4 linked regions of the Daphnia pulex genome follow. The protein of the gene in region 1 binds, or shares a complex with, the protein of each later gene. Links are inferred from orthologs where the notes say so. Each region holds a gene or a part of one and is shown in the gene's direction. Other genes may lie near its edges.

The links.
Region 2: vesicle-associated membrane protein 7-like (region 1) and syntaxin-5-like share a complex: the UniProt entries of both Homo sapiens proteins name them as parts of the SNARE complex. The link is inferred for Daphnia pulex from reciprocal best matches to the Homo sapiens genes VAMP7 and STX5.
Region 3: vesicle-associated membrane protein 7-like (region 1) and syntaxin-18-like share a complex: the UniProt entries of both Homo sapiens proteins name them as parts of the SNARE complex. The link is inferred for Daphnia pulex from reciprocal best matches to the Homo sapiens genes VAMP7 and STX18.
Region 4: vesicle-associated membrane protein 7-like (region 1) and vesicle transport through interaction with t-SNAREs homolog 1B-like share a complex: the UniProt entries of both Homo sapiens proteins name them as parts of the SNARE complex. The link is inferred for Daphnia pulex from reciprocal best matches to the Homo sapiens genes VAMP7 and VTI1B.

What each region holds. Positions count from the first base shown.
Region 1 is NC_060018.1:6,536,071-6,543,535, forward strand, and holds vesicle-associated membrane protein 7-like, read left to right. Parts: upstream 1-2,699; 5' UTR 2,700-2,786; intron 2,787-2,921; 5' UTR 2,922-2,991; intron 2,992-3,060; 5' UTR 3,061-3,067; coding exon 3,068-3,274; intron 3,275-3,339; coding exon 3,340-3,477; intron 3,478-3,539; coding exon 3,540-3,630; intron 3,631-3,717; coding exon 3,718-3,785; intron 3,786-3,855; coding exon 3,856-3,948; intron 3,949-4,097; coding exon 4,098-4,169; 3' UTR 4,170-4,315; downstream 4,316-7,465. Other genes in the region: uncharacterized protein LOC124188813, read left to right, coding at 1,577-1,619, 1,684-1,776, 1,842-2,308; ribosomal RNA-processing protein 8-like, read right to left, coding at 4,316-4,523, 4,587-4,663, 4,725-4,884, 4,951-5,380, 5,462-5,477; tubulin--tyrosine ligase-like protein 12, read left to right, coding at 5,983-6,050, 6,106-6,169, 6,248-6,378, 6,448-6,641, 6,712-6,772, 6,872-7,133, 7,196-7,386, 7,456-7,465. UniProt on the Homo sapiens protein: Involved in the targeting and/or fusion of transport vesicles to their target membrane during transport of proteins from the early endosome to the lysosome. Required for heterotypic fusion of late endosomes with lysosomes and homotypic lysosomal fusion.
Region 2 is NC_060017.1:4,339,520-4,347,047, forward strand, and holds syntaxin-5-like, read left to right. Parts: upstream 1-3,286; 5' UTR 3,287-3,440; coding exon 3,441-3,883; intron 3,884-3,949; coding exon 3,950-4,005; intron 4,006-4,074; coding exon 4,075-4,316; intron 4,317-4,403; coding exon 4,404-4,774; intron 4,775-4,842; coding exon 4,843-5,002; 3' UTR 5,003-5,240; downstream 5,241-7,528. Other genes in the region: importin subunit beta-1-like, read left to right, coding at 1-9, 78-258; proteoglycan 4-like, read left to right, coding at 1,839-1,853, 2,144-2,521; leucine-rich PPR motif-containing protein, mitochondrial-like, read left to right, coding at 6,405-6,547, 6,644-6,828, 6,899-7,143, 7,205-7,350, 7,437-7,528. UniProt on the Homo sapiens protein: Mediates endoplasmic reticulum to Golgi transport.
Region 3 is NC_060027.1:1,469,970-1,477,883, reverse strand, and holds the start of syntaxin-18-like, read left to right. Parts: upstream 1-3,327; 5' UTR 3,328-3,360; intron 3,361-4,070; exon of another isoform or gene 4,071-4,197; intron 4,198-4,272; exon of another isoform or gene 4,273-4,327; coding exon of another isoform or gene 4,328-4,358; intron 4,359-4,419; coding exon of another isoform or gene 4,420-4,631; intron 4,632-4,744; coding exon of another isoform or gene 4,745-4,909; intron 4,910-5,069; coding exon of another isoform or gene 5,070-5,444; intron 5,445-5,556; coding exon of another isoform or gene 5,557-5,675; intron 5,676-5,770; coding exon of another isoform or gene 5,771-5,936; intron 5,937-6,027; coding exon of another isoform or gene 6,028-6,141; intron 6,142-6,221; coding exon of another isoform or gene 6,222-6,389; exon of another isoform or gene 6,390-6,676; intron 6,677-7,914. Other genes in the region: F-box-like/WD repeat-containing protein TBL1X, read left to right, coding at 4,328-4,358, 4,420-4,631, 4,745-4,909, 5,070-5,444, 5,557-5,675, 5,771-5,936, 6,028-6,141, 6,222-6,389. UniProt on the Homo sapiens protein: Syntaxin that may be involved in targeting and fusion of Golgi-derived retrograde transport vesicles with the ER.
Region 4 is NC_060018.1:4,116,625-4,123,240, forward strand, and holds vesicle transport through interaction with t-SNAREs homolog 1B-like, read left to right. Parts: upstream 1-2,670; 5' UTR 2,671-2,784; coding exon 2,785-3,008; intron 3,009-3,095; coding exon 3,096-3,558; 3' UTR 3,559-3,668; downstream 3,669-6,616. Other genes in the region: uncharacterized protein LOC124189006, read left to right, coding at 1-113, 321-566, 734-858, 1,021-1,391, 1,559-1,718, 2,007-2,507; homer protein homolog 2-like, read left to right, coding at 3,880-3,884. UniProt on the Homo sapiens protein: V-SNARE that mediates vesicle transport pathways through interactions with t-SNAREs on the target membrane. These interactions are proposed to mediate aspects of the specificity of vesicle trafficking and to promote fusion of the lipid bilayers.

The sequences.
Region 1 (7,465 bases):
ATTTGAGCGGTGAGCCTCTCGAAGTATTGGAACCAATTTTTAATTTAAGAAGTCGACACTCAATATTTTCCAATTAATAAGAGCTTCCTGTTCCTCGTATCTATGACCTCTCGTTCTTCTTGATTTTTTTTCTTGATTTTTCCATTGAATTTGAATTTATTGCACATGAATTGTTTTGATAAAATTGAGAAAATCCAGATCTTACCAAATACGATTCGGTTAATTAAGAGGAGCTGATAAGTTGGCTCAAGACACTCGAAAGTTAGACCTTCACTCAGTAAATGTATCAGTGGGATCGCGCAATGTTACAAACATCTTGGCTATCAGCCATGCGCATCGACTTGCGCAATGCAAACATCGAAAAAAAAAAAAGTTTTAGACGATCAATACTTTTCTTAAGTTATAATTTTCGGCAGGATTCCAATATTCTTTCATTTCAACTCAGTAGGGGAGGGTGGGATTAAGCGGGACATTTTAAGCCCCCATTTCCCTTTACTCTAATATTGAAAGGTGTAGCTAAAAACTTTCCGGTACTTAAGTTAATAGTGTTGTTTATTATTGTATGCCAATATTTTTTCAAATATCTTGGCCTCCGTTATGAGAGATTTAAAATTTGTAAATTTATGGGAGGAGCCAAAATATTGGGATTTTTTGGGGAGGAGGGCTCATAGGTTAGGCGGGTTAGGATTAAGTGGAACAGGGTAAGCCGGTATTAAAGCCAATAAGCAACGTGTGCTAGGATTAATTATCAGTTTAAAAATATATATTTTTCCCTCCATCTTTTCCATAATTCTAGAAGGCCCAAAGGTTTTGAAAAGCAAGTTCAATAAAGTTTTAATAGAGTAGACTAGAGTAGAGAAAACTTTAGAGGAGAGGCGCTGTTTGAAAGTTGCTATGGTTTGGCCGCTGGGGTGCCGACTGCCGAGCTCTTTGGGTTTTCTGTAGTGACTCTAGTCAGAGCAATAGATACCTGGTCGGTTCTCGGCCGTGTTGGCTTCCCTATCCCGGTTTTAGGGTAAACGTATCCCCGATTTTCAGACATTTTAGGGCGGAGCTTGTCAGAAGTTGTGAAGTGGTAAAAATGAAACAGCGCCATCTAGTGATAAGACGTTGACTTTCAAATAATACTTTCGGCGGCCATTTTTGTGTAATATGTGAATACGGCGGCCATTATCGTGTATTACGTGAATGAAGCCTAACCATAATTTCTGTAAAAATGGTTGGCAGGTGTGCTGTTCCTGGTTGTAAATCAACATATTTCAAAGGAAATCAAAAAGAAAACGAGGTTACCCTGTTTGCAATTCCTAAAACTTCATTATCTAAATGGCGAGAACTAATTCCATGTAGTTATTTGACGAGCACCTCACGTATTTGCTCCCGTCATTTTGACGAAAGTGACTTCAAATCAGGGATTTAAATTTTGAACGTGTTCCATCCTTTCAAACGTAGGAATCGTAATGCTGGAGCAATTCCCAAACATTTTCTGATAAATGGTATTGATATTACATTTCCTGTATAATCTGTAAAGCACAGAAACTGAACCATTTTCATTTTAGATACACCTAGTCGACAAGCAATGCAAAATGTTGATGGTTTCAAATGGAGAAATAACCTTAATGGTATTTTTAAATATGTTTATTTTGTTTAATATCAAATAACGCAATTCTTAAATATGTATTGTAGTGGAAACAAATGCTAGCAATGCATCAGTAAGGAAACGACCAAAAGTAGACAAAATACCTACTACGTCTAAGAGAAAAAAATTTGACAGTACAGGTATTGATAATAGTTCTCGTTACATTTTATTTATAAGAGCAATTGCTTTAAATTTTATCTGATAGCACCCTCCATGGAAATTATTAAAGAATCAATCAACATTCCCCAGGCTGCTGAAGAAGCAATTTTTGATCCACTTCCAGATTCAATCAAGGAAAATCTTGCTGTTGTCATGGAAGATACGACAGTTGCATCACCTTCTATGGAAGCTACCTCTACTATTCAAGAATCAATGGACACTCACCAGGCTGCTGAAGAAGCAATTTTTGATCCACTTCCTGATGTAATGAACGAAAATGTTGCTGTTGTCATTGATGATTCGACAGTTACATCACCTTCTATGGAAGCAAGCTCTACTAATTTCAAGTCTAATTTTGTGACATTTCAGTCACTAGTAACTTCATCAATGGTACCAAAGAATTGGACATGGTATTTTGATCAAATTAAACAAACGATTTTTTGCATTTCGATGGATCGACTACCAAATGAAAATTATAATGTGAAAAGTGTACATTTTCAAAACAAGAAGTAGTGTATTATGTCAACGGAACAATAAACAATTTACACAACCAAACAATAAAATGTAAGAATGTTTGGACACTTACAAAGAATAAACAATTTACACAACCAAACAATAAAATGTAAGAATGTTGGGACACTTAGAAAAGACCTAGAGGTTTGACAGTTGGATACTTCTACCTTTTTATTTTGTTCACTTCTTGTAGAAAAGTAAGCTGTGATTGGTCAATGAGTTTTTCATAGACCCTTCCTGATTGGCTGGCTTCACGTAGTACCTGACACACTCACTAGAGGCGCTCATCAATTTTTCCAAATCGGACCACGTTTACCCTGAAACCGGGATAGGGAAGCCAACACGGCCGAGAACCGACCAGGTATCTATTGCTCTGCTCTAGTGAGTGAGCAAACCATAGACTCTATAACGTGGTTCCGACAATAGTCAACATTGAGTCATTGACTGGAGTGGATTGTCATTTGATAATTTAAGATAGGTTGTTTAATCCTTAATACTTACAAAAATTAATTATATTCGTCCTACAACTATCCAAAACTATAGCAACGTCTTTTGAGTGTCATAATATCTGCTCCTTCATAAGTTCTGTAATCCATCGTGAGTTTCTCTGCAGTTTTTTATACACGTTCGTCAAGTTATTGATGGGATTGAAGATCGTCTGAATCGTCGAGAAAGTTTTGTTGGTATGAGATTAGTTGACCCATAAAAAATATTTAGTCTTTATTACATAATCTCATATGTTAATTTTTTAGAAGGAAAATGCCGCTGTTATATAGTGTTGTTAGTAGAGGAAACACTGTTTTGGCTAGATTTGCCAATAATTGTACTGGAAACTTTTCTGAGATCACAGAGCAAGTTCTAGCTCAAATTGGACTTGATGATTCAAAAATGACCTACTCTCATGGATCATTTTTGTTCCACTATATTTTGCAAGACAGAATAATTTATCTTTGCATCTCAGATGATGTAAATCTTTTTTTTATTGTCTGCAATTGTAGAAGATGATATATAAATAGAAACCTTTATTTTAGGAATTTGAACGTTCAAGAGCATTTTTATTTTTGAATGAAGTTAAAAAGAAATTTGTAAATACTTTTGGAGCCCATGCATACTCTGCTCTACCATATGCTATGAACACGGAGTTTTCGAAAATTTTGGCAGGGCTAATGGTAAGTCGTGAAATTCTTCTCAATTATTTCAGACATTACTGAGATTTTTTTTTTAAAACCAGAAACACTTTTCTGAATCTCGAGATATCGATACCGTTTCTCAAGTTCAAGGAGAATTGGACGACTTGAAAGATGTAATGGTGAAAAATATAGGTAAAGTGTAAATACGAGCCAGCAAGAATTTGCAACCTCCAGCAGTAGTAACATAATACCATTTAATTTAATTTTGCTCATTATTAGATTCCTTAGCGGCACGTGGCGAAAGATTAGAATTACTGGTTAATAAAACCGAAAGCCTCAGCGCGTCAGTATGTATATTTTAGATATTTTTAAATTTTACTTTGGTTTACCAAGTAAGTTATTTTAAATTGTTTTTAGGCTGTTACTTTCCGGAAATCAAGTCGAAATTTGGCTAATTCCTTGTTCTGGAAAAACATAAAAATAACAGCAATTACTGCTGCCGTGATTTTGGTATGTTATAATTGTTTTACAGTTTAAATAACTATCTTTATTTCATTCGTAATTTTTTTTTTTTTACCATTTATCGACCTGAACTACATTCTAAAATTCGGAATAATATTTTAAATGAAATCTAATTGAAAATATCTATTTTTCCGTAGGTTATTGTGTATTTTGTCGTTAGCATAGCATGTGGAGGATTGAATTGGCATTCATGCATTCAAAATAGTTGATGCACAAATTCTGCGCGTGATCTAATTTTTCTTTCAGTTTTTAAAACAAACATTCTATTTCAACCAAATACGTTTCTGTACATTCGTAACATATAATGAGTCGGTTTCTTTGTTATGATGTTCAACATTTATGTGTACTTTTCTATTCATCGTTTTTTGTACAGACAAGGTTTCAAATATATTCTTGGCATAGTTGCTTTGGGACTCATGTTTTGAATCTTGCTAAACTTTGCGAGAAAAAAGTATTTTTGAACGTTATTTTCTTTGAGTTGGAATCCAAAACGTTCAATTGTTTTCAAGAAATCATTAATATTGCTACATCTGCTTTCAACTTCAGCTACACACAAAGTACCACTGTAATTTAAAAATTACATCAATAAAGATTATTATTTTTTAAAATCTGTATGTAGCATTTACCCAATTTTAAGGACTCTATTAGCTTCCTTTAAAAAGTCATGTATGTTGGAACCCATGAGAGATAAGCAGAAGACCACCTGAACAAGCAATATCTGTTGTTTGATCAAAATTTATAATGCATAAATAATGCTGAAATACCACATCAACAGCTTTGGTTGCCAAAGGAACAGAAGCCATGTCACAAGCAGTAACTTTGTCATTTGCTGCTACAAGGTCAAAAGAGTGAACTTTATTAGGAATGGTGTTTGCTATCTGAGCTTCACCACAACCAAAATCAGCTATCACCCAGTTTCTAGGACTAAAAAAAAAATTTTCATTTGTTAAATTAAAGCAATTTTTTAGCACATGGCTTGTTTTATTTTACCCTTTCATAAGATCAGTGATGATGATATCCAATGGGTTGACTGGCCATTTCAAAACCTGGTTCTTAAACCCCTTGTGGTATATATCAAATGATTGGGGGTCTTCTTGGAAAAGTTCCCATGCTTCACTACTACTTTTGGTATACAGCTCTTCATTCAGATACCTGAAATTAAATGTTATGATAGGCTGGAATATTGTCAACAACAACAAAAAATACCTGAACCGTGCAGATTCCAATCTTTGTCTTGCATCACTAGCAATCGATGCTCTCTCTTTAGTTTTTCTTTGAGGAGCTGAAAGTGGTGTTCTTTGGTGAGCAGAATTAGAATTTACCTTCTGTTTGGTTAGTGCAACCTTTAATCGTTTAACATAAGCTGAAGATCTCACATTTTTGGGTTTTAGTGAAATCTTTTTTGATCCCGAAATCGACGCTGAAAATTTTAGAAGTAATGGGAAGAAGAAAATTGATACAATTTTTGTGTCAGGATAAAATAATAATCATTTAAGGATACCTGTCTTGCTTTCCATTTTTTAAATTATGCGAATTGGGAAATGTATAAAACTTGAAAACCACGACCAGACCAAAACAGACAAGACACAAACCATGTGCAGGTGTTACAAAATATGCGCGTGCGTCATATTTCTTTTACAATAAATTTTTCTGTTTTTTTTTTTCAATTTTGAAAACAAAATGACAAAATAAATATAATTCTATCGAGAGATAGTTTTCTTTTTTCTTTTTTAGGGTTTGTTGGAGTTGGAATTTTGGATTGGAATTGCATTTTTTATTTTTGCTCGACGCATTAAGTGACAACGGTGTCTGCCTAGCAGACGATCGACAGTCTGCTTTCTCAACGTGGAAAGAAATAATTCAAGTTGTTTTTGACATATGCGAAATTGCGAATCAACTGAAAAGTGTTTCGTATTATCTGAAATACGTAAAGTGGTTAATCATTAAAGGTATATGACATGGCTATCGAAAATATCCTTACTAATAAATGTGTTTTTAATTGAATTTAAACTTTGAAGGGAAATGTCCTCTTTGGAACTTGCAGATGGCTTGGAAGGACTGAAAAGTTTTATAGCTCTCCATCAAGCACAGTAAAATCATTACTATTATTATTTATGTTCATGTATCACATACAAGTGTCTTAAGGTTAAAGTCCTCTGGTGTTCCTGAAATTTATTGGGAGACCTTGTATTGGAAGCTAAAGAATAGCGTAAGTTTCTGACAACTTCCTGAAGAATTTACACAAATTTGGTTATGATAATTAATTCAATTCCTTTTTAATTTTTAGATTTTTGATGCTGGGGAGTGCTTTAGCTTAGCACAAATTGATGAAGATGATAACGTTGTGAGTAATGCTTTCAACAAATGGAAAGTTCTAGTTACATGTTCAGGAGGTGTTGTTGCAGCAGATCCAAAGCAGTAATGTTCTTCGTGTAAATGTCTGTATCATGTATATAACAGAATTTTAATGTAATTTTATTTTGTTAGTATCTATCTTGTTGACCATGCTTGGACATTTCGACCAGATCAAGTTAGGAGCCACTTGCTTAACATCACAGGCCTCCTTGCTAGGATGTGTAACCTCATGGATGTTGCTTATTCTGCTGAGAGTGATAATATTGAAGTAATTGTTAAGAAGGTTATGGCCAGCATGTGGAAGTACAGTCAAACATATAGCATTGGTAGTTAATATGCTATTGCTTTGTTTGTTTTTTTACTATTCTCAAAATTTAAATTTAAATTTAATATAAGGTAACCAAAATCTTGAAGCCGAGGAGCGTCTCCCCATCTGGTACATTTTGGATGAATTTGGGTATGTTACTTTCTACTTTGATCTTTGCAGTAGTTCTTTTTTGTATTTCAGAGTTGTATGCTGAATAATATTAATACTTTGTTTATTCTAAAATATTAGATCACGGATTCAACATTCTGATCATCCGACCGTTCGTCTTGTTCCATTTTTCTTTATGTCCGAACAAGCTACCTATTCGATCATGTTCCCTTTGAGTGATCTTGATGAAAACGACGAAGTTACCCGTGATTTCGTTGAAGGTTCAGGAGCTGATGAAATTAGTCGGTCAGCATTATTACATCCGTGGTCCGAGGAATTTTCTCAAGAATTCCTTGCTTCCGTTGATCTAGAACAAGTCGAGCCTTCACCGGACTACTTCTCCGTAAGCTTAACATCGAATAATTCTGTTGATCGTTAAAAATTAATAATATTAGGTTTTTAAAGGCTAGTCGAATGACCGAAACGCTTCCGAATGCCGATATTGAAATACCTGGCCTACCGAGTGATCGACCTATCCGCACTTACGTTGAATATGTGTTCATTCGCGACTATCTGAAACACCCTAGATTTCAATTGGTAGATAATTCTGATGAAGCAGAAATTCTTTGGCTCTCATCACATTTCAAGGATTTCAAGTAATTGAAAACGTTTAGAAATTAGAACTAATAATTACCTCAAAAACTCCCTTTTCTTGACTCTTTTAGGCAGCTAAGC
Region 2 (7,528 bases), on another chromosome or scaffold:
ACTCGTTGGGTATATTATTTAGCTCATTTGAATGTTAACCATTTAATTTAAATGTGCCTTTTGAACATGTTTGACAGCATTATATTCCAGAAATTGAGCTTTGACACTGCCATGAAATACCTGGAATCCAACTTAAACCTCAAGTGGTTGGTCAGTGCTGCAGTACACCTCGCTGATAATTCACGTGAGTCAAAAGGCGAGTTCAGTGAGCCCAAGTTTGCAATGTCAGCACTTGAAGCTTTTAACGCTGTTGAATAATGATTATATTTTCCCCTTATATCATGGAACCTGTAAAAGCAAATATTTATTTATCGTGCCATGAAAAATAAAATGAAGGCCAAATTACCGGTAAATTTCTATCTTCAGGAAACCAAGCTGTTGAATCTAAAATAGTTATTGGTGATCTCAGTTTAGTCATACTTGAAAAAGATTTTTGGTTGTTATCATTAGTACGTCAGATGAAACTGGCAAAGAACTTTGTTTGATATTCTTCCTCTGAAGCTTCCATTTGTTTTGTTCTTGACCCTGGGCCTCTGCCCCTCTGGGCATGGTAGTGGGCGATGGACAAGGAGGAGTTTATGCGTGAGCGTACTCTTACGTGCTCAAATATAAACTTCCATGTAGTTGTTTACGTGGTGACCTCCAAGTCCTCAACCGATAGCTTTGACTTACAAATGAGTTAATCATTCAATCCGGTTTGAGCGTATGTTTGCGTTATTTGTGCTTTGAGGAGAGTTGAATGACCAATTATGTTTTTTTTTTTCGTATGCATTTGAAATGTCACCGTATCGTATACATCAACATGTCGAGAATTTTTGGCTTTGATACAATACAACGTCTTCCTGATTTCACGGTCAAGAATGAACAAGCTGGTTTGCCAAACTAGTTTTGGATACTGCTGCGCTTTTTAATGTAAGCAATGCATATTTTCTAAAATCAAGCACGCACGTTTGCGCAGGTGAATGAACGAAAAATCTTGATTTGCATGACAAGAAGAATCCATCCATCCTACTCAAACTTGGGCCAACTCATCTGTTCAAAAGAAAAGAAAAGGTCAAAAATAAAATAAATAAAAGGTGATGTCATAAAAATAAAAATGATTTGTCTTAAAAAAAACACATCAACTGCTGCTTCAAATTTCAATGGAAAATGTATTAAATGACAAGATACGAGCGGTTCTTGACTCCTCAGAGTGTGTGGATTAGGGGGAATTTCTTAAATTGATTCTTGGTGAGTAATTTTACAATTACCTTTGGCCAAATGTACGGGGAATATTTTTAGAACAAAGTAGAACCAATAGCGATCGAATGAAATTCAGAAAAAAAATTATAAAAAGTTAAAAACTGACTGAAGATTGCTTGAAACTGATTTGAAAATGCTAATTTTCTTTGAGAAAAAAACTGGAATTTGAACATTCATGTTTTTTTTATTTGCTTTTTTTTTTTTTTGCTTTTGCATTTTTGATTCTTCATTGTCTTGTTACCAAATGTTGACAGCCGCGGAGTTGTTAAACCGGAAAAGCTTGTCCGCTAGAAAACGAATGAATAGTCACGCAGCATTGCAGTACAAGAACAATTCTTATGGCAAAGATAGATGATCCTCCTACGTGGTTCGGACCACCGAAGGAAATATCCTTTCTGAACAAGAAGGACTGAAACTATCCGCCAATACAACATAAAAATGTTAGAAGTGAAGAAGGAAGTGCAAAAAAAAAAAAAAAAATGGGCATCCGCGGCTATATTAATGCGTGACTCGGTAATTCCTGATCAAGTAACCAGTAATCTTCGTTCGAGAAAACAACTCCTTTTCATCGGCAGCTAGAAGAAAAATTCAACACAATGAAGTACTTATTGGTATGATCACTGTTACATTTACTTTGTATCTGTTACACCTGTATTATATTTAGACATAGGCCGTAGAATCAATTTAAATGGAATTCATTTGGGATGTAGTGCAGCGATTTATTGAAATAGTATTTCATGTATTCTATTTCCTGAATGATTTTTAAAAATTCGTATTTAAAGCCTTGCCTCTAAGCTACCAAGCGGCCAAAAGCACGGCGAAAGTGATTTTACCAATAACAAATTATGACTGTGTATACTCTTTGATAAATATTTAATGAAAATGCGTTTGATTTCAATAGGTGAAGATTTTTATTGTGGTAGCCATCATTTCGCTGGCTAATTCCCAGCAGAGTGCTTCAAAAACAACGCCCAAAACTGTTAAACAGGTATCGACGACGGCTAAGCCCATGGCTGGTGCTGCTACGACTGTTAAGCGTTCATCGACAACGGTTAAGCGCGCAGGAACAACAGCTAAACCGAGAACAACTACTGTCAAGCGGGCAGGAACAACAGCTAAACCGAGAACCACTACTGTTAGGCGTGGACCTGCACCCACAACTGCCAAGCGCGCATCTACAACACCTAGACCTAGGACCACTACTGTCAAGCGCGCACCTACAACTGCTAAGCGCGCGTCCACTACGGTTAAGCGCACAGCCACGACCAAGAAAGTTTAAATGATTCAATTCCGGCCATCATTTTCTTTGTTGTTTCTTCAATCTTTACATATCTATAGGCCCACAGTTAAACATTCCATCGTTGTTTCGAATATGAGCAGGCCGTCTCTTTCTGAGTAATACGACTCAATTTGCTATTCTTATTTAATTGGCAGTGATATTTAGTAAATATAATATGCAGAAATCGTTTGTTATCAATATTATTTCATTTACGATTTTATTTCCGTACAACCAAATACTATTTGCTTGTGTTTTATAGGGATTTGAAGATTTACGTAAGCTTTGGCAATCAAGCGTAAATCTTGAGACGGTTGTTAAAAATTTTTGGAAAGGAAATAAAATAAAATTAACAGAAATGCTTTACAAATTTATATGTAAAAAAAAATGTTTGGGAACTTCTGTGTTCAACAGTAGAATTACACATGAGTACACTTTTCTAAGTGTGCATTATAATATTGTTTTGGTCTTCCCTCGCTAGCAATGAAAACGGCTTTTCCTAAATAAAAAAAAATAAATTGAGATGAAAACATAATTTTGATTGGTATGACGCGGGAACGATGGAGAACCTAGTACGTAAGTCATACTTCTCTTAGGAGGAATTTGCGACATTTAAAGCAAACCAACATTGTAGAAAGATAAAGTCTATACATAGTAATTAATAATAGTAATTGATAAAGCTGGATAAAGGTTAAAATAAAATGATAAATATTGAACTTTATACAGTAGATAATTAACGTTGGCAACGTTGGGAATTACGGCTAATGTTTGGTATTTTTTCGTCTGCACACACTCTGCAGACAACCCTTAATATGACGTGGCATTCGGTATAGTTTCTTGTCGCAAAATATCTGGCGTTCCCGATTATTTGGATTTCAAAGACGAAAACGGATGAATTTTTCGAGAGATAAATTTTTGACGGATGATTACTCGAAGACGCCGGCAAGGCTCTGAATCGGAGCATCAGCCGCTTGCTGAAACCCAACTGCAAAACCAAGTCCTGAAAGGCTCTTCATCCGTTTTACTGTGGTCGGGAGAAAGTCCTCAACAGCAGCCATCCTTTTTCATTGTTCCGCAGGGTGAAATAGGTGCATTTGTTGCACCAAATTATTCAACAGATAAATTTGTAGATGTTCAAGCAAAAACCAACAGCGCTGACATGATGGCCCTAGCATCTAATTCGAGTTCATCAGTTCTGTCTTCCACCAATGCTTCTTCACGTGATCGGACTGCAGAGTTTCTCTCTGCAGTCAGAAGCTTCCAGAGTAGGCCAGTTAACGGAGTAGTTGGGAGGCCGAGTCAATCACATCCATCTAAGAATACAGATCAACATCAACAGTACTCTGAATTCATGAAAGTGGCAAAGTAAGTTGTCGACTTTTAAGAAAATATTTGCAACTATTGAAAATATTCAAATTTTTTTCTGTACAGAGTTATTAGTAAGGATTTGAGCAACACATATGCAAAACTGGAAAAACTAACTCTATGTAATTAGCTTTGTTTTTAATTTCTACTGTTCAACCAATCATTTCATGGTTTCACATTTATGCTTGCAGTGGCGAAAAAACGAACGCTATTTGATGATCGTCCTCAAGAGATCCAAGAACTGACTTACATCATCCGTGAAGATATCACAAATCTGAACAAACAGATTGCTCATCTGCAAGGATTCATGAAAAAGCAACAGAATCAACAACAAAATACCAAGGCCCATTCAGCAAATGTCGTTGTAGCTCTTCAGTCGAAGCTAGCCAATATGTCTTCTGAATTCAAACAAGTCCTTGAAGTCCGCACTGAGGTACACGCCTTTCCTAGTTTAAAAAATAACTACTAGATTTTATTATCTAGGATATTCAGTAAAATGAATGTTTTGAAAATATTTTAGAATCTTAAAGCCCAGAGAAGCCGTCGAGAACAGTTTTCTGGCTCCGTCCCAGTCGTTTCTGATTTACCGGCTGCAGCCTTGACAGGAGGACCGTTTGGATCCTCTCAAAATGGTTCTAAAGGATCTGTTCTACTCCGTGATGCTGCCTATCAAGCCCATGGAGGAGAAGCAGTAGCTATCGACATGGGTGCCGCTGACAACAGAACCAACAGGAATCAAATTCAGCAGCAAGTGTTTGCCGACGAAACAGAATCTTACCTGCAAAGTCGTTCTGACGCAGTCCAAAGTATAGAATCCACTATCGTGGAGTTGGGCGGAATTTTCCAGCAACTGGCTCTCATGGTTCGCGAACAAGAAGAAATGGTTCAGCGGTAATAATATTAATTATTTTAGAATATGTTATAACAAAGAATTTATGGAAATATTTTTCTTCGTGTAGGATTGACTCGAATGTCGACGATGCCCAACTTAATGTGGAAGCCGCTCATGACGAACTCTTGCGTTACTTTCGTTCCGTCTCTTCTAATAGGTGGCTGATGCTAAAAGTCTTTGGGGTTGTCCTTGTGTTTGTTGTAATATTCGCCATCTTTTTTGCTTGAAAATTATCTAAAGTACGATTTCCAATTCATTTACCAATACAATTTTCGATCCTAATGAATTTAAAACTCACGGTTCGTTTCTCCATTGTGCTTGATTAACGAATGTAGATGTGCCCTCTGACGAAAATGTTGCCCAGCAGACTTCTGGTGATTTTCATGATGAAGTTATAAACTGTGATGTATTAAGAATAAAATTCAATAGTAAAATATCAGAAGAATAAATAAATTCTAATCTATATTTGACATCTTCAATATTATAGCTAGCCAGCTAGTATTTTTTTAAATTGCATTCCAATTCCATTCATTTCCGTCAGCTGTATTTTGAAAGGTTGTTTAGAATCACCCTCTGATCTAAAAAAATACCGCAACAATTTTCCCAAAGTTTAGTACTAGCCCGCAGTTCTGAATCTTCGAGTGTGTGCTCTCTTACTCCGAAGAGGGGCGTCCCTAAACTGCGAAAGCGAAACGCGAAACGCGAAACGCCTAAAATGCGAAACAGCTGTGCGAAACGGACCCAAAAGTTGAGACCCTGTTTCGCATTTTAGTCTTTGGGTCCGTACTAAACTGCGAAATCGGTGTGTGCGAAACGTCGCAGTGTAAACGTCTTGGTAGCAGACGACAATGGACGCCGTCAACAAACAAATTGTTAAGAGTTTCAAATTTTCGAGTTTCGCGCACCTTATGGCTGGTCTATTTGTGTGTTGACCATGAATACGAAATACCTTGAATGCAATATGTAATAGGTGTTTTAATTAGAAGATTGGTATAAAAAAATTAATGGAACTTCTCGTTTCCATACTGTATCAGTATCAATCAGATTAACATTCTTAATTTTAAGGAAAGTTTTAGCTGATTAAATTTTAGCTTGATTTGGAACATGGTAGCTTTGACTTTTAGCTTGATATAAGGCACTCATACTGTTATGGCCGATTCTTTCTTTGTGCACGTACCTACTGGTTGATTTAAATTATTTAATGTAATCCGATGTAATCCCTGGGCCATTACCTAATATTTTATTATTTAAAAATATCACCATAACGTGCTGCTCTATGTCTTTCATTAGTTTAATAATCGTAAAATGCGCATCAAAACATACAGGGGTAGTGGCGAAGAAATCGAATTTGATTGCCCCCCTTCCTCCTTTAATGCCTCATCATAGCAGACAATGAAAAATGGCGGCAATTTCCGTCAATTTGGACCTCTGTGCCTCTGTGGAGAATAGGAAAACTTTTTGTTTCGCAAGATGTTTCGCTCTTTAGTATGCCCTCCGGCATTTGGTCCCGCGAAACGGTCCCAAAATTTTGGTCCGTTTCGCACAGCTTTTCCGCATTTTAGGCGTTTCGCGTTTCGCGTTTCGCTTTCGCAGTTTAGGGACGCCCTCCGAAGAGTGGAAAACTGAAAAATGGCTTCAATGTTACGTTCGGGAAAGTTTTTTCGGTTATTCTCTAATTTAACAAGAAGTTTTGATTTAAATAATGGTGGAAGGAGTAATAATGAATTACTGCTTGGTGCACGTAGAGGAGAATGGGAAACTAATATTCAGAGGTTTGTTGTTTTTCAACTTATTATCGTGTCCGTAAAACACCGGTACCCACGTGACTCGATAATGTTAAATACCGCTAAATTGTATTTTATTTCTAGATCCTTTTCTGCTGCCCAGCTACCATTAAAGAACTTAAATGATAATACTGTTCAGCAACCTCCGATTTCCACAATAAATGATAGTGTAGACAAGGCCATTGAGAAAGCTGAGTTGGATGCAAAAAAATCTGGTCGCATCACAAAAGATGATATTCTTGATATCATTCAAAAGATTAAAAAACAAAGTATTATCTTGTTTCAGCACCTTTAAAACTGACAAAATGTTTAGTGCTTGATTTATGTTTGTTTATCCAGAAACTGCTTCAACTACTCAGAGCTTGCTGCTCATACGGTGTTGTGGAAATCTTGTGCCTGAAGAACCACCTATTTCAAGAACAAAATTAGTTGAAGAAGTATGGAAAATGTTTGAGGGATTTGGTGTTCCACTTGACATTAGCCACTATAATGCTTTGCTCAGAGTATATTTAGAGAATGAGCATTCATTTGATCCCATGAAGTTTATCCACCTTTTGGAAGGGAAGGAAATTCAACCTAATAGAGTAATTTTACCTCAATCAAAATTACTATTGCTTTTGTAATCCTAATTTTTTTATTTTCTAGGTGACTTATCAGAGACTGTTGTCAGCATATTGTCAAAAAGGAGATATTGATGGTGCATCACAAATTTTGGAAATAATGAAAAGTAAAGATCTCCCTATTGGTGAACAAGTATTTAATTCACTTGTTATGGGCCATGCAAACACTGGGTAAACATATTTACAACAGATTGTACATTTTAAAAAATTACAATTAATAAATATAGACTAAAATTAACTTTGTGAAAATGACACAGAGATCTAGAAAGTGCAAAGGGTGTTATTAAAGTCATGTCCCAAGCTGGTCTTGAACCTGATGGCGAAACTTACCGTGCTTTACTCTGTGGCT
Region 3 (7,914 bases), on another chromosome or scaffold:
AAACTTAGAAACTCCAGGACCATCTCCCCCGCCTATTTAAACATGATTTTGCGTAGTTAGGTTGGTATGAGATATTACGTTTCCTCCTAACAAGTAGTAAAACGCCGGTTAGACGTGACGCCTTTAGTTGAATTTATATTTGGCAGTATTTCTTATAACCAAATTTACTGAACGATGAAAGAAAAAGAAAACCGTAACGACATAACACAATTTGAGTTTAACTGCTGAGAGTAACTCAAGAGGGAATTTTAATTAGCGACTAAAGACCTTGGGTGTTATGATGCAGTAAGGAGAATAAGTTCGAAGTACACAATGGTGTTCTGTCAAATCCAAATAGAATTCATGAAAGGAACGATTGCATGATTAATGAAGTAAAATGTGCTCATAACAATAAATATCTTTAAAAGTGTATCCTGGAATAACAAAAATGTTGGAGTTCAAATTTTGAAAACGAGCCCGCCTTTTTTCAACAATACTTTCGCGAAGATTGGTATTAGAATGACAGATAAGAAGATGCTACGTATGCTACGAGGTTGGATGCTACGTCTGATTTCAACCTGCTGAGAGTAACTTGAGAGAGGGAAGTGCATGACTGTAAAATATGGAACTGAACCGTAAAATCGACCGAACCGTTGGCAGCCTTGTCAGTATAACAATGCAATCGCATTCGTCATAAAATCTAGAATCCGATCTGCCATCGTGCTCAAGGAGACGCAGGGCCTGATCAAGTGACGGAAACTCAGCAACAATCAAGAATTTGGCAATTCCCAAACAAGTTATGGCCGAATTTCAACAAACAGCACTCCGGTCTCAAACAAGAGCAAGAGAACCAGACTGATCAACAAACGAGGATTAGCGCCCAGTGCGCTACAACCAGTGTCATATTCGTTATTCAATTCAAATCAAATTAAAAATCAGAAAAGAGTCTGGAATAGCGGACGTCAATTCAGAGCATGTGGTAATCGAACAAGGAATCCAAAAATACGGGAAAAAAATTCAAAAGAGCAAACTTCGATCAAACGGACGAGTGAAAGAGAGAGAAAAACGGACCTACCCTATCTCTATTTCTACCTTCATTGCTAATCACACAACAATAAATTTTGTGATTCAAAATGGACGAAAACATATTTGGAGAAGCGGAAAGATTCTTCAATGGTTCTCTCTAAAAAAAAACTCAACTGATTTCATCTTGCCAACAAATTGCAAAAAAAAGCAGTAATATTGTGAACGAATAAAAGAAAGAACTCCTCAAAAAGAAGTTTATCGGGAAAACTAAAATAGTTCTGAAAAAACCTGACAAAAAGGACTTCAACGGAAGAGTCAAAATGAAATTCCGTAAATAACTTTATCGTGTTCAGCCGGCCCAATAGCCAAAAGAACAAGGAAAAGAGATTTCAAACAAAGATAGGAAAAGCTTTTCCTGTTTTAAAATGCCTGTCATTAAGAAACGCAATTACTTCAAAAACAGTATTCGAAAACTTTTCGAATACTCTTTCTTTTCAACGAAAAGATTCTCTATAGTTGCAACACAACAAGAAAATAGATGTTTAAATGTGGGTGAGGGTGACTTACATTAAAAGCGAATCCGGTTAAGTATTGGGGTCTAGAAGGTAATCCATCCATCCAACGACTGGAGTGACGAATGCCAAGAATTTCGTCATTCCGGTGATGACGCCTGGATGAAGTTCTGTCAAAATAAAATAATAGTTTAATAAGCATGTTTCAAAACTTCCTTGAGAGATTAACATAATAAACCGAATACCCATTTAAGTCTGGGTTGAATTGGATTCGCTCATTTGTAGCTATGATTAGGAAACGGCTGATATTAAACGAAATAGAACTAAACGATACGTCAACTAGCAAACTATTCAAGAAACGTTTGGTGAGTGCCCGACTCTCACTCGTAAGACCCATACAGTTTGTCAGAAGGAGATTTTGGATATAATGTATCGAGTATTGTCTGGAACGAAGAATTAAAACTGTTGGTCACCAGTTCAGACGATATTTGGATCAAGGTGTGTCCCAGAATTTAAATGGTTATTTAGAATTGAATGTTTAACTCCTTCACTTTCAAATAATTGAACGCAGAATTGGTAATTGGAAAGAGAGGATCCCAATATCCCATACGCATGATAGAATCCAGTTCTTCTTGTTGCGAATAAATTTGGAGTCCAATTCCCATCCAGCGTAATCGTGCAAAGAGCGAAGGAAAAACCTTTTTTAGTCGGGTCAGATTTCATTCATCTAATATCCCAGTGTCCCAAATCGATTATTTAATTAAGCGTAAGAGCTCAATCGCCTTTTTCTGATCTTTTTTCAGAGGGTTAGATAACGGATCAATTTTTGTTTGGTCGCCAACGGAAAAGGAAATACAACCAAGTTTGTTTTTCGATTGACATTCCCACGATTTGCATAAAATCTTATTTTCGCCAAACAGACGCTTTCTGGCATCGACCGGCTATGAAGGAAAATTGGTTATCTGGTCCACCAAGGTAAATTTGAAGGTAAAACGAGTGAAAGACTGGATGTCTTAAATTTCTCGCAAGGTGTTTAGAACTGGGAACAGATCATGACACCTTTTACCACCATCAGGGTTTCACCACCGGTGCCCAAGCCCAAAACTCTCAAACTAAACCTGCTCAAATAAAACAAACAACAAAAGTAATATCCACCAACAACGTAAAAATAATAAAATAAACTTTCACGAGGAAGCAATGTAGACTCACCATGAAAAGAAACCTCATGGGATGCATATTCTGATGTCTGTCGAAAAAAGATATAAACTGACTGGCACTGCATGGTGCAAAACCCTCCTACAATCCTTTCGTGCCATAGTTGATATTGTCATTTAGTGAAACAGTTCACAAATAGTTACCTTTCATCAAGTACCCAACACGTTACAATTCTAGAATAAGTCAGGCGCCATATTTTTCGTACAAATACTGCAGACAAAGGGATGTTTACCTCATCAGCATGTGTGTCACTTCCAGCCTGGTGCAGATTCAATTCACCACCGAAAATGTTGGTCACAGATTTTGCAAAGGAATCACAATGAACAGTACAATCTTTAAAGTAATATCACGCTGCTCAACACAAATGAAGACGATGGATGCACACTTTCGAACATTGTTCACTGTTCAGTGAACTTGTGAAGTAATGGCAGTAATGGTGTGCTCTCGAAGACGAATAGCTCGTCGTTCATGGGAATGGCGCCAAAGAAAAAAATACATTGCAACGAACTTGGCAAACGACTGGTAGATGGCGGACTAAGTTCCACAACAAACTGACGACGAGGACGTTTGAAAAATAGAACGGCTGTTGAGTGTTGGCAGATTTTTGCTCAAAAATCATTGTCAAACGGTAAGTTAAACAAATAAATTATAAAGAATATACATTACTTATTCAAATCAAAATATTTGTTGTTGGAAACACCGATCATGATGGATATCACGTCCCTGTTCAAGGTCTCCATCAAGACGGTCCGGACACGCAATAAAGCTAGCTGAAAACTGAAGACCCAAATTGCATTTTCCCACGACCATCCAAACATTTTTCAAAATTCCAAACGAAAGCCAAAGAGATTGTCTCAAATGTGGCCAAGTTGAAAGAGTTTTAGACAGCTAGAATTGAAAAGCAATCACGCTCGTGATGTGAGTGAACGGATTAGATAAACAAAATACCGTGATATCGGCAAAAGAGATGCCTATCAATGGACTCTGAGAAAGTTGTTATAATGTATCATTGGTTGTTGAAAGATAATTGAAATCAATTAAGTTGTCGGGAAAATGAAAAGACACGAGTTTTTCAAGTTTACTTTCTTTTGGGGTTATTTCAGTGGGTAAAAAAAATATAGTGGGTGTGGAGAGGAAAGTCGTATGGTGTGAGGTAAGGGGAGTGAGAAAAGATTTTTGTCAAAGGATTAGTCAAAATGCAGTTGCGTATCGAAAATTACAGCTATTTTAGCAACCTCGAGACAAGTTTGAAAAACAAAAAAGATTCCAGACAGAAAAAGTCAAGGTAAATTTTCCTACGACCCCGTTCAAATCCACCCCCTTCTTACCCCCTTGAACGTTTCTCTTTTGTTTTTCAGTTTTACTTTTCCAGTTCCATCTTCTTTAATTGCCACTTCAGTTTCAACATTCTTCGAGGCATCGTGCTGCCAGTCTCTTTAAATATTACTCATCTATCTGCGCATCGGTGAAATTTTTAAGATTCTAAACTCTATGGATATTCCAGCTTTAACGCTGTAAAATAATGTTTCGTTCATTTTAGTTCGCTACTTCTAAACGTGGTTTTACACTTCCGTTCGTCACTAAGGAGAGAGAAAATGACAGATGCTGTAAACTCACCAGGGAAAGGTAAGACAAATATTTATAAACTTGTCCATCGTTTTTAATCAATGTCTGATGTCCCATCCAGGTTTTTTCAAACCAGTTGAGTTCTCAATTACGAGTAAACTAGATGTGAGAAGTTCCAGTTTCCACCCCATCGATCCTGTTCTGGCGTGCGGCTTAGTTCAAGGAGGATTAGTTTTCCTTCGGGGAACTAATCACTCCACACCGTTTGAGAATTGGGAGATTGAACCCGTATACAGCCGATACGAAAGGACAATTTTATCCGTCCAATGGAACGTAAGTCTGTGAATCAAATAATTGTGTCCGTGTTTCACCCCATCAAAATCGTGTGCTAAATGTTACAGTGTTAATCCTAAGTTTCTATTTTTGTTTTTCTGTTTGGCGTAAAGGTCAATGGAACTAAAGTAGCTGCTGGCTCCGATAATGGGACTGTCATTATTGTGTCTTATCCAGGCTGTGGCAAACAAACATTCCGAAGAAATGGACGATCGAATTTCCCGTTAATTTTTTGGCATCCATTTAACCGGGACATGTTGGCTAGTTATAACAGTGCGGTAAGTGAAAAAAAAAAAACAATATTCATGTGCTAACTTAGTAGTTTGTTTAAGTAATGCGGGAAGGGAGAATTTCAAATTAAAAGTCGGTGTACACGAGAAACATTCACATTAATTTATTGTTCACCAGAAATTTTAAGTTTTAAAATTGTATCTCAAGTTGGACACAAACGAGGTGATGATTGCCAATTCAGCAGCTGAAAACCTCCTCACCCACACCATCAAATCAAAATGGAACTGTCAGACCCTGGCCTGGAACTCGCACAATCAACTCGCCTTTGGTTACGACGATGGAACGTTTGAAATTCACGAAATAGAATTGAATAACAGTCAAATGAAAAGCCGAATGGTCCAGAAAATCCGTCACGATCTGGGTGATCATGACAAAGCTGTTCACCATTTTTCGCTTATGAATTCCAGGGACAATTTTTCGCTTATGAACTACCAGGGCCAAACACGAACTTTCGTATCGAGTATCGCCATTAACAAAGAATTTGAACTTTTGGCTTCAGGTGGAACAGACTTTCGAGTCAAGGTATTAGAACTACATACGTTATATTTATTGGATTTTAATAGTCGATAGACAATTATTATTGTCTAAGTTTTTAAATTTAAATGAGTCAATATTTAAACAATTTTAATTGCAGATTTGGTCATTGGGCAGTAAAGATCCTATTCTTGTGTTGGATGTCGATTCCAATTGCAGAAATTTGGTATGGAATTCTGGCATCAAAGAAGAGATGACGACAAAAACTTTTATTGCATGGTTAGACTGCCTAGATTATTTTAATCAAGTTTTAAAAGATGCAAGTTTAAATTGACATTCTAATAACCACAGCTTTTTAATTGGCTTTTATTCAGCGGATTAGAAAGTGGAAACGTTGTAATTTGGTATCCATTTGATCATGAAATTCAGACACGAAAACTTACAGGACATGATCAGATCCATCAATTAATACTTTCACCTGACGGACGCTATCTCGCAACAACAGACTATTACAAGAAAGTGATTATTTGGTCTACAAAGGTAAAATATTTTTGATAGAAATTCTTAGTTGGATCAAACGCGACTCACGTACATTCTTTTCCCGCAATTTCTTTTTTAAATGAATTTTCAGAGTTGGAAGAGCATATACATTATACCCTCATCAGAGTATATGTATCCATACATGATGACATGGGACGCGGCCAGTTGCAAGCTAGCAATTTCAGAGAGAACAGGACAGAGACAGGTAAAATAATGCGTTTCATTCATCCAAATTTCAACAAATTAATGTTAATAAATAACTTCTCATCTCTGTGATTCAAACAGTTTAAAGTGATTGAATACTTCGTTGCCGAAAACTGCTGTGCTGGCTGCAAGAAAATGTCTCAAAATCTAAAGCGTTGCGCTCGCTGCAATTCAATCTTCTATTGTAGCAAGGATTGTCAGCGTTCACACTGGCCCCAACACAAACTTGTTTGCAATCAAAATGAATAAGTTTTGATCGAATTTTCCAAGGCAAAAGATTGAATGTAATCAACAAATTCTTCTGTTAGCAGTCCCCCTCTATGGCATGTATCTGAATTAGGAATACGAAAAATAATCCCCCAACTTCTTTCTCATTTATTTTTTGTTTTCTGTTCAATCAATAGAGCATCAGCAATCAAGGAAACAACAATTGTTAATGCTCTCTTGCAGTGTTGCTCATATATCTTGGAATATGAAAGGTTAAGTTTGAAATCGGTGAAATTTTGTTAATTCTAAATACAAAAGTTATTACGTCATTTGTCATGTAACTCAGCAATTAACAAATTCTTTCGAGATTGAAAACCCAGAGTATACATCTTCAACACGTGTTTGTACATTTTTATTCGTTTCGACAGCGACAAAATGGCAGAAACTTAAATTTTATTATCCAGGAAAAGGCTAGAATACCAACAAAATAATAATAATTTTATATTTTCAAACAATTAAGTTATGAACCATAGGAAATAATAAATAAAAAGTAAATTTCGAATATAATTTTTTTTTAATATTCAAGATTTGAACCGCTATCTGGATATTGATAAATTTTGTTACGTCCATATTTTTTGGGGTTATTAGGGAGAAAATCACGAGCAACAATAATTTTGTTAATAAATAAAAAATTATGAATTTCTGACTTTATATCAGATGAAAATTGTGTAAGACGATGACGAATCCTACTAGCTTTCGCTCCTTCGCAGCGTCGAGAATCTACTTCACGACGGTTCCATACACGATCTAAGTCATACCGGGTTTCTAAATCCGGGGCCGTCACTCTGTAACGTGCCACGTGACGGGTAAAGAGCATATGCAAATACTCATTTCCTCATATCTCCTTATGCGCTTGTATACACCGTATGGTACGCTTTCGACTGTTCGTGAAGGCAAGTGATCACTTCGTCACTATCAATTCGCCAGACGCGCTAACCACTACACCATGCGTGTCCAAATTACTTTCATTATTAAAGGTACACTTTTATGGGATTCGGAAAGTATCCCAATTGCACCGTGATAAAAACAAAAATATTCAGCATTTTACGAAATTATTTAAAATAAATTTTTTCATCTAATAAATTTTTCGTCAACGCACAGCAGAATAGTCTACAAAATAATAATTATTTGTTATTTTCAAGCAAATAACATGTAAGCGATAGGAAAAAATAAATTACAAGGTAATTTCGAATATAATTTTTTTTCAACATTCAAGATTTGAACCATTATCTGGAAATTGATAAGTTTTATTGATCCCGTATTCTTTTGGGTTTGGGAAAAACACAAACAGCATTAATTTCGTTAATTAATAAAAAAATTATTAATTTCTGAACTCGGGTATGGCCTGACATTGCAACAGTCTAGTCATAATTCAACATCTTTATGGCATCAAAGAAGAAAACTATCAAACAATATTCACACCATCAACCTCAAAGAATGTAATAACACCGATAAATCCCTAATTTTTATGCCCGTTACATGCAATTAAACTTAATCGACTTCCCAA
Region 4 (6,616 bases), about 2.4 Mb from region 1:
CATCCAGCTCCCTGCAATCTTCAGGGCTCCCATTAGGCCAGACATTGTCAGCTTTGTTCAACAACAAATGTCAATGAATCGTCGTCACCCTTATTGTGTCAGCGAGAAAGCAGGTAACTTGTATGCCAATTATATGGCACACAGCATTGAAATGTAGGAGTAATTGTACGTCAGACTCTTCTTGTGCAGTGTGCAACACTAAAGCGAGTCCCTGAGGCCTTTCTCGCTTTGTTTTCTTAAAGTGAGGGGTTGGGCAACCGGACAAACTTCATACACACATGTAATGGTGTGATTGTTAATCTTCTTCTTTCCTATTACAGGTCATCAGACAAGTGCTGAATCATGGGGTACTGGTCGTGCTGTGGCTCGTATTCCCCGTGTCCGAGGAGGTGGTACCCATCGCTCCGGTCAGGGTGCCTATGGTAACATGTGTCGTGGTGGACGTATGTTTGCCCCCACCAAGATCTGGCGCCGTTGGCATCGCAAGATCAACGTTAACCAGAAACGTTTTGCATTGTGCTCGGCCGTCGCTGCTTCGGGTATTCCGTCTTTGGTGATGTCCAAAGGTAAATATGAGCCAAGATCATCATTGCACGGTTCCATACTAGCATGATGAATATGTGTTTCCTGTGTTTCTGACAAGCATGAAGTCATACCATGAGTCCCTGATCCATACAATGATAGTAGTAAATAAGGTCATATTGAATTAGAACTAAAATGTTTTTACATTCAGGTCACTTGATCAATGATGTCCCGGAGATGCCTTTGGTTGTGTCGGACAAGGTTCAAGAATACAAAAAAACCAAACAGGCCGTCGTGTTGTTGCGCCGTCTTCGCGCATGGACTGATGTCCAGAAGGTTTGTTTCTAGATATTTATGTATAATTATCACGGGAAAATGATGAGTTGCTTCTTGGTCTGTGTTTATGAGTAAATGATTTCACCTTAGAGCTCTGAACAAAATCTGAGTCATGAATGATTTTATGTGTGAACACCGTCTAATTAATCTGATTTCTTACAGGTTTACAAGACCAGGCGTTTCCGCGCAGGTAAGGGTAAGATGCGCAACCGTCGCCGTACCAGCAAATTGGGTCCACTGGTCATCTATGGCAGAGATCAGGGTTTGACCAAGGCTTTCCGTAACATCCCCGGAGTTTCTATGATTTCAGTAAACAAACTGAACCTCATGAAGCTTGCTCCTGGTGGTCATGTTGGCCGTTTCTGCATCTGGACCGAGTCTGCTTTCCAACGCTTGAACGCCCTCTACGGTACTTGGCGTCAGAAGTCTAAGCTGAAGAGCAACTACAACTTGCCTCAGCCCATCATGACCGGAACAGATTTGTCTCGTTTGTTGAAGTCTGATGAAATCCAGAAGGTTATCAGACGACCAAGGCAAGCTTTCTTTTTAATCTTTATTATTGATTAATTAATGATGAAAACCACATTTAGAGCATTGGGTTATGAATCTTTGTGATTAGCAAATTAATCTGAACGCAGTTTATCATTCAAGTGATACTGTCTGGTGCAAAGATGACTAATCGATACAATTTAAATTACAGGAAGATGATCCGTCGTGCATCTGTTAAGCGCAATCCTCTTACCAACATGAGAGCATTGATGAAGTTGAACCCGTACTCCGCCGTGATTAAGAAGTCTGCCGCTGCTGTTGCTGAGGCCCGGAAGAAGAGCAAGACTGCTTTGCTCGAGAAGAAGCGCGAGGTAATTTTGTTTTCTGTGAATGTTTGTATGTCTTAGATAGTTTTTCGTTTGATTTCTGTTTGAATTGTTAAAATTGTATTACCGCATGTGAACGTAACTTAATGCATGCCACATTGTTTAACATGTACAGGCGAGTGCTACCAAGAAGGTAGCTGCCTAGCCTGCGAGTGAGCGCACACAGCATGGTTTATTGAGCTAATCAACAGATGTTTTTGGTGAGTTGTCCATCGTAGTGAGAATCTGATTTGGAAAATAGTCCAAGTTCTAATTTGTATATCCATTCTACAGTCAGTAGTACCCGTACCAAATTTACCTGTTGAAAAGCCGAAAGAAGAAGCGCCCGTTCAAGCACCGGTCCAAGATGTCAAACCAACTCAACCTCCTCCTGTTGAAACCCCTAAGCCAACACCACCAGAAACAAAGAAAAGCAAGAAATCCAAGACGGCTGCAAAGGATTTGCAAGTAGAACCGATGGATGTAACACCCGCGTCCGTTGTTGAGGTGAAGACTGCCCTAGCTCCAGCTAAGGAACCATCTCCGCCAATCGTTACCATCCCTGAACCTGTAGTTAAGGTGGTAACACCAGTCGCTACTCCTGTAAAAGGAAAATCGCCACCAGTCGTTCCTGCCCCAACACCGATTGCTGTCCCGGAAGTGAAGCCGTTGGAAAAGGTTCTTGCTGCTCCCGTTGAAGCTATCCCATTAGAAGAAGCTTCTGTTCCCGAATCAGCTGCTGATAAGGGATCGAAAGCCAAGAAAGCAAAGGGGAAGAAAAATAAGAAGGAATGAGTGACATCATTGAACCTGTGCCTGTATGACGTTTTTTCTGTGACATCTGAATAAACCTTCTGCAGGCTGAAATGTGTTTAATTTATCTTAATAATTAGCTATTAAATGTAAATGTCATGGAAATGCTAATTCTCGCCGTTTGTGGCGCTGTCTTCAATGTTTTGTCAGATGGTGTTTTATACGTCAAGTCTACAATACATTCCTTGTCTTCGTCCTGATAGCAAGGTATCGTATGTAGTGCTCAAATAGGTTCAGAATTGTGCTACAAGAAACAGAAATGAGCTCAGAGAAATTTGAAACTCTGGATGAAGATGTACAAGTTTTGTTCGAAATTCTGCAAAGAAAGTGTTCCGGTAAGCTAGAACAATGTTTTGGCGAAGAAAAAAAGCAAGTTATTGCCGATGTCGAAAGAGGACTAGATGAAGCTAAACAAGCAATATTTGAAATGGAAGCTGAAGCTAGAGCAGCTCCTGGCTCTTTTAGGATGGACATGATTGGCAGGTAAAAATGTGAATGTCTTAAGTTTACACAGCAAACAATACATGTAGTAAAATTTCAACTAATGTTTTTTTTATCATCCAACTTCAGAGTACGAAGACATCAGGACACCTGTTCCAAACTTGCTCTATTGATCAATTCTTCCAAGCAATCAGAAATGTCTCTGGCCTCATCAAGAGGAAAACTGTTGGAAAACCAATCCACTGCTGCATTTAGCCAAAACCGGGGCATTGATAATGCTCTTCAAACAACTGTTCGCCAAGGAACTGCAGTTCTGGAAAGAACATCACAGAGCCTCTACAGAACTACTCAGGTTGCTTTAGAAAGTGAAGAGATTGGCACTGGAGTTATTCAAGAATTAAGTCAACAAAGAGAAGTGCTTGTTCGTACAAGAGATAGATTGACTGAAACGGATGCAGAGCTGGGAAGAAGTAGAAGAATCCTTAAGTCAATGTCTCGTGTTGCTATGACTAATAAGCTTGTCCTAATTGTCATCATTCTGTTGGAGATATGCATTTTGACAGGTTTAGTTTATTATAAATTTTTTTCTTGAAATTATTGTCCTCAAATTCTTAACATACCTCATCAAAAATGTAACTAATAGTGTTAGTGCCTTGAATTTGTGTAAAAGCCGATACAAAAATATAATCATGCGCATAGCGACCAGTATTTTTTTCCCCTTGCGTGCGCAAAGGATTTCCTAGCGGCCTTCGTACGCAGACGGAGTTACGAACCCAACCTCTGGCTTTCAGTTCCATTTGACAGAAGCTCTTCCTGTGTCATGGCGTGCTATACGTGTATTTAAAGTTTTTGCGTTTGCCAACGAAATCTGAGATTTTTCTAAGTTGTTCGTGCTTCGACATCGACAGTTAAAATGGGGTAAGTTGTGCATTTATTGATTCTGTATAGTCTTAAATGAAAAATCGATTCGTACCATATATCCACGTAGCAACAGCTGGATGCTGAGCACCACTGTCAAGTCTGAATTCAAATTTACTGTAATTAAAAGGGTATATGTTTCAAATATTTGTATTTTGGACTATGGAATTAGACAAATAAGAATTTTCCATTAGGGTGTATAAATACCATTAAGCTAAAGTGTAAATCAATATTGAAGTCACAGACTCACTGAAGTGTCCCGTCATTCAAATGTTAAAAAAGATTTTATTAATATCTTGGCTGTAAATATAGCATTCATATTTTCAAACTAATAAGCTAAGCTGCATCCAAGTTTTCAACCTGTACTAAATTCTAAAGTTGTATTGAGCTAAACTTCGAAGCTGAATGACTTGTGCCTCTAGCTACAGCCCAGAAGGATTGTTGCGAAATGTTATTCTCAACTCAAGCAATAGATTGTTGCTTTAGGTGATACATCAAAGTAATATTTCATCCAGCCAGAAAACTCTTGATATTGCTAGGATGCTAGGCCCACTGTTAGTGGGATTTTAGTCACACAATATTGATTTACTTTGAAACATGCAAGCCCCATTCAGACAATTCCAAAAGCACAAACATTCAACAATGATAATGGGAAATAGAAATTTGTGGACTTTGTGTATTCAGTTGTAAGAAATCGATGCTGCGTGTCCTGTGTCTAATTCCTAGATGGCTACTTCGAACCCTTTCCCTTATTTTTCATGGTATTTATTAGTTAATGCTATTCTCGTCATGTTAACTTTCATCCGTACCTACAGTATTCTCCTTTTTTTTCGTTTGCTCACTACAACGTAAGATATCGCGTGTCGAGTTTCATTTCATTTCACTGCTTCTTTTGGAGGCTTCTATCGCCGGCGTCTCCTAGGTTGGACGCTAGATATAAACCCGTCTGAGAAGCCCCACCTTTACTTTAAAATAAAGTAAAAATTAATTTAAAAAAAGGCAGGGGAAAAAAAAATAACTAAAATCATCCTTCGGATAACAATCGGTTGAAAACAGGCTCATCTCATCAAAAATGAATGGCATCAAAGTATATTTATTCAATCTTCCATAAGAGTTGGTTTGCGAGGGGATGGGGGTATTTGTTTATTTCCGTTTTTGTGTATGTGTGTGTGTTTGCAATGGGGAAAAAAAATCGCTTGTATACTTGCCCGTGTTTACGTGTGCGTGCCAGAGTCGCAATGACGGGATTGCTAGATCTAGCCGGAAACTTTTAATGTTTCATTTCCTTTTTTCTTTCTGTAACTTGGCATCCTCCTCGGTTGTGGCACACTCCATCACCATTTAGCACGCGTGACTGTGCATGCCGTATCGACAAATCTGTCGATTCGGCAATTTCGTTTCGACACTCTTTTCGTGACTGAATAACCCGTACACTTATCATTGAACTCTAATCGCCCGAATTTGTGTGAGGATTTCGACCCGGAGACTATCCCATTGGAACTTTATTTTTTCAATCTGTTCCGCAGTCGGGAACTAGTTGAATTCGTAAAAACTGTGGCTTAAGTTCAATATTCTTTCAGCTTGCTCAAATATTTAAGGCGTAGGAAGCGGTTGCCGAGGTTTAGGGGGGGGGGGGGATTGCATCTTGGTTGTGCGCCTGTGTCAGGGCCAAGAAAGCAGTTCCCGGATATGATGCCATGTCGTGTCTGTCTCTTTTGGAGAGGGCGAGCTATTTGCAAGGCGCCAGTGAAAAGATGGAATCACGTCGACAACCCTTGTCTAATCTTAAGGATGAATCTCGATGATACCTCAATCAGACGTGTCTCTTTAAGCCTTTAGGTCCTCGCCATTCGATCTATAGTTCCCGAAATCTTATTGTTAATCCTAAGATTTTATGAGGTTGCCATGGATGGCTAATGAGTGCCTGCCATGATTGGGCTGCGTTCACCAAGGCGACGTTCTCTCCGTGTTTCTTCTCTCGCTGACTCTCTCGGGATTTTCGAGCGGCTAATGACTTTATTACTCAGTGCTCTATTTATCCTCACAAGTCACCTAGTAATATTTACAGATATCCTACATGAACTAGAGCTATAGAAGCTCAACATTACCAAACAGAAGAAAAAGTTGTTTTAGTTCAACGAATTTTCCTTGGTTATTTGCACGATCTCCTGTTCTTTTTTTCTTTTTTACTCTATTGTGTTCTGTGAACTGTAAACCCATTACATGAATGGATAGGTAATGGTGTCTTGATCGTTCAACTGGAATTCGGCTTCTTTGATCCTATCTACTCGATTGCGATCAGGCTCAATCCTGTTAGACTTCATCTCGTATCGATGGATCTCGCACCCAATGGTCTATCGAACAATCGCCGTCGTATGGATTCGATAACACACCGAGGAACTCCTCCTGGAAGTCAGACCAACAGCTGCTGCATACTTCCCCTGACAAGAGTGTATTGAACACGGTCGAAACTAAGCCCCAAAAGATAGGAAAGTAGAAAGCCAGATTGATGTCCACAGTTGGTCTCGATGACGTTTGAATCTGCGAGTTACACAGAGAGAAAATAGTGAGGGACTGGCGGGAAACAAGAAATCGTATTAGGTCCCAATCCGATTTATATTGTATACGTTGAGCCTGTCGTCCTAGCCCCTTGAAGGAATGACGACACTTTTTTTATTATTATTATTATAACGGATAACGTTGAATTTTTCTTTCTTCGCTTCTATTTCGTC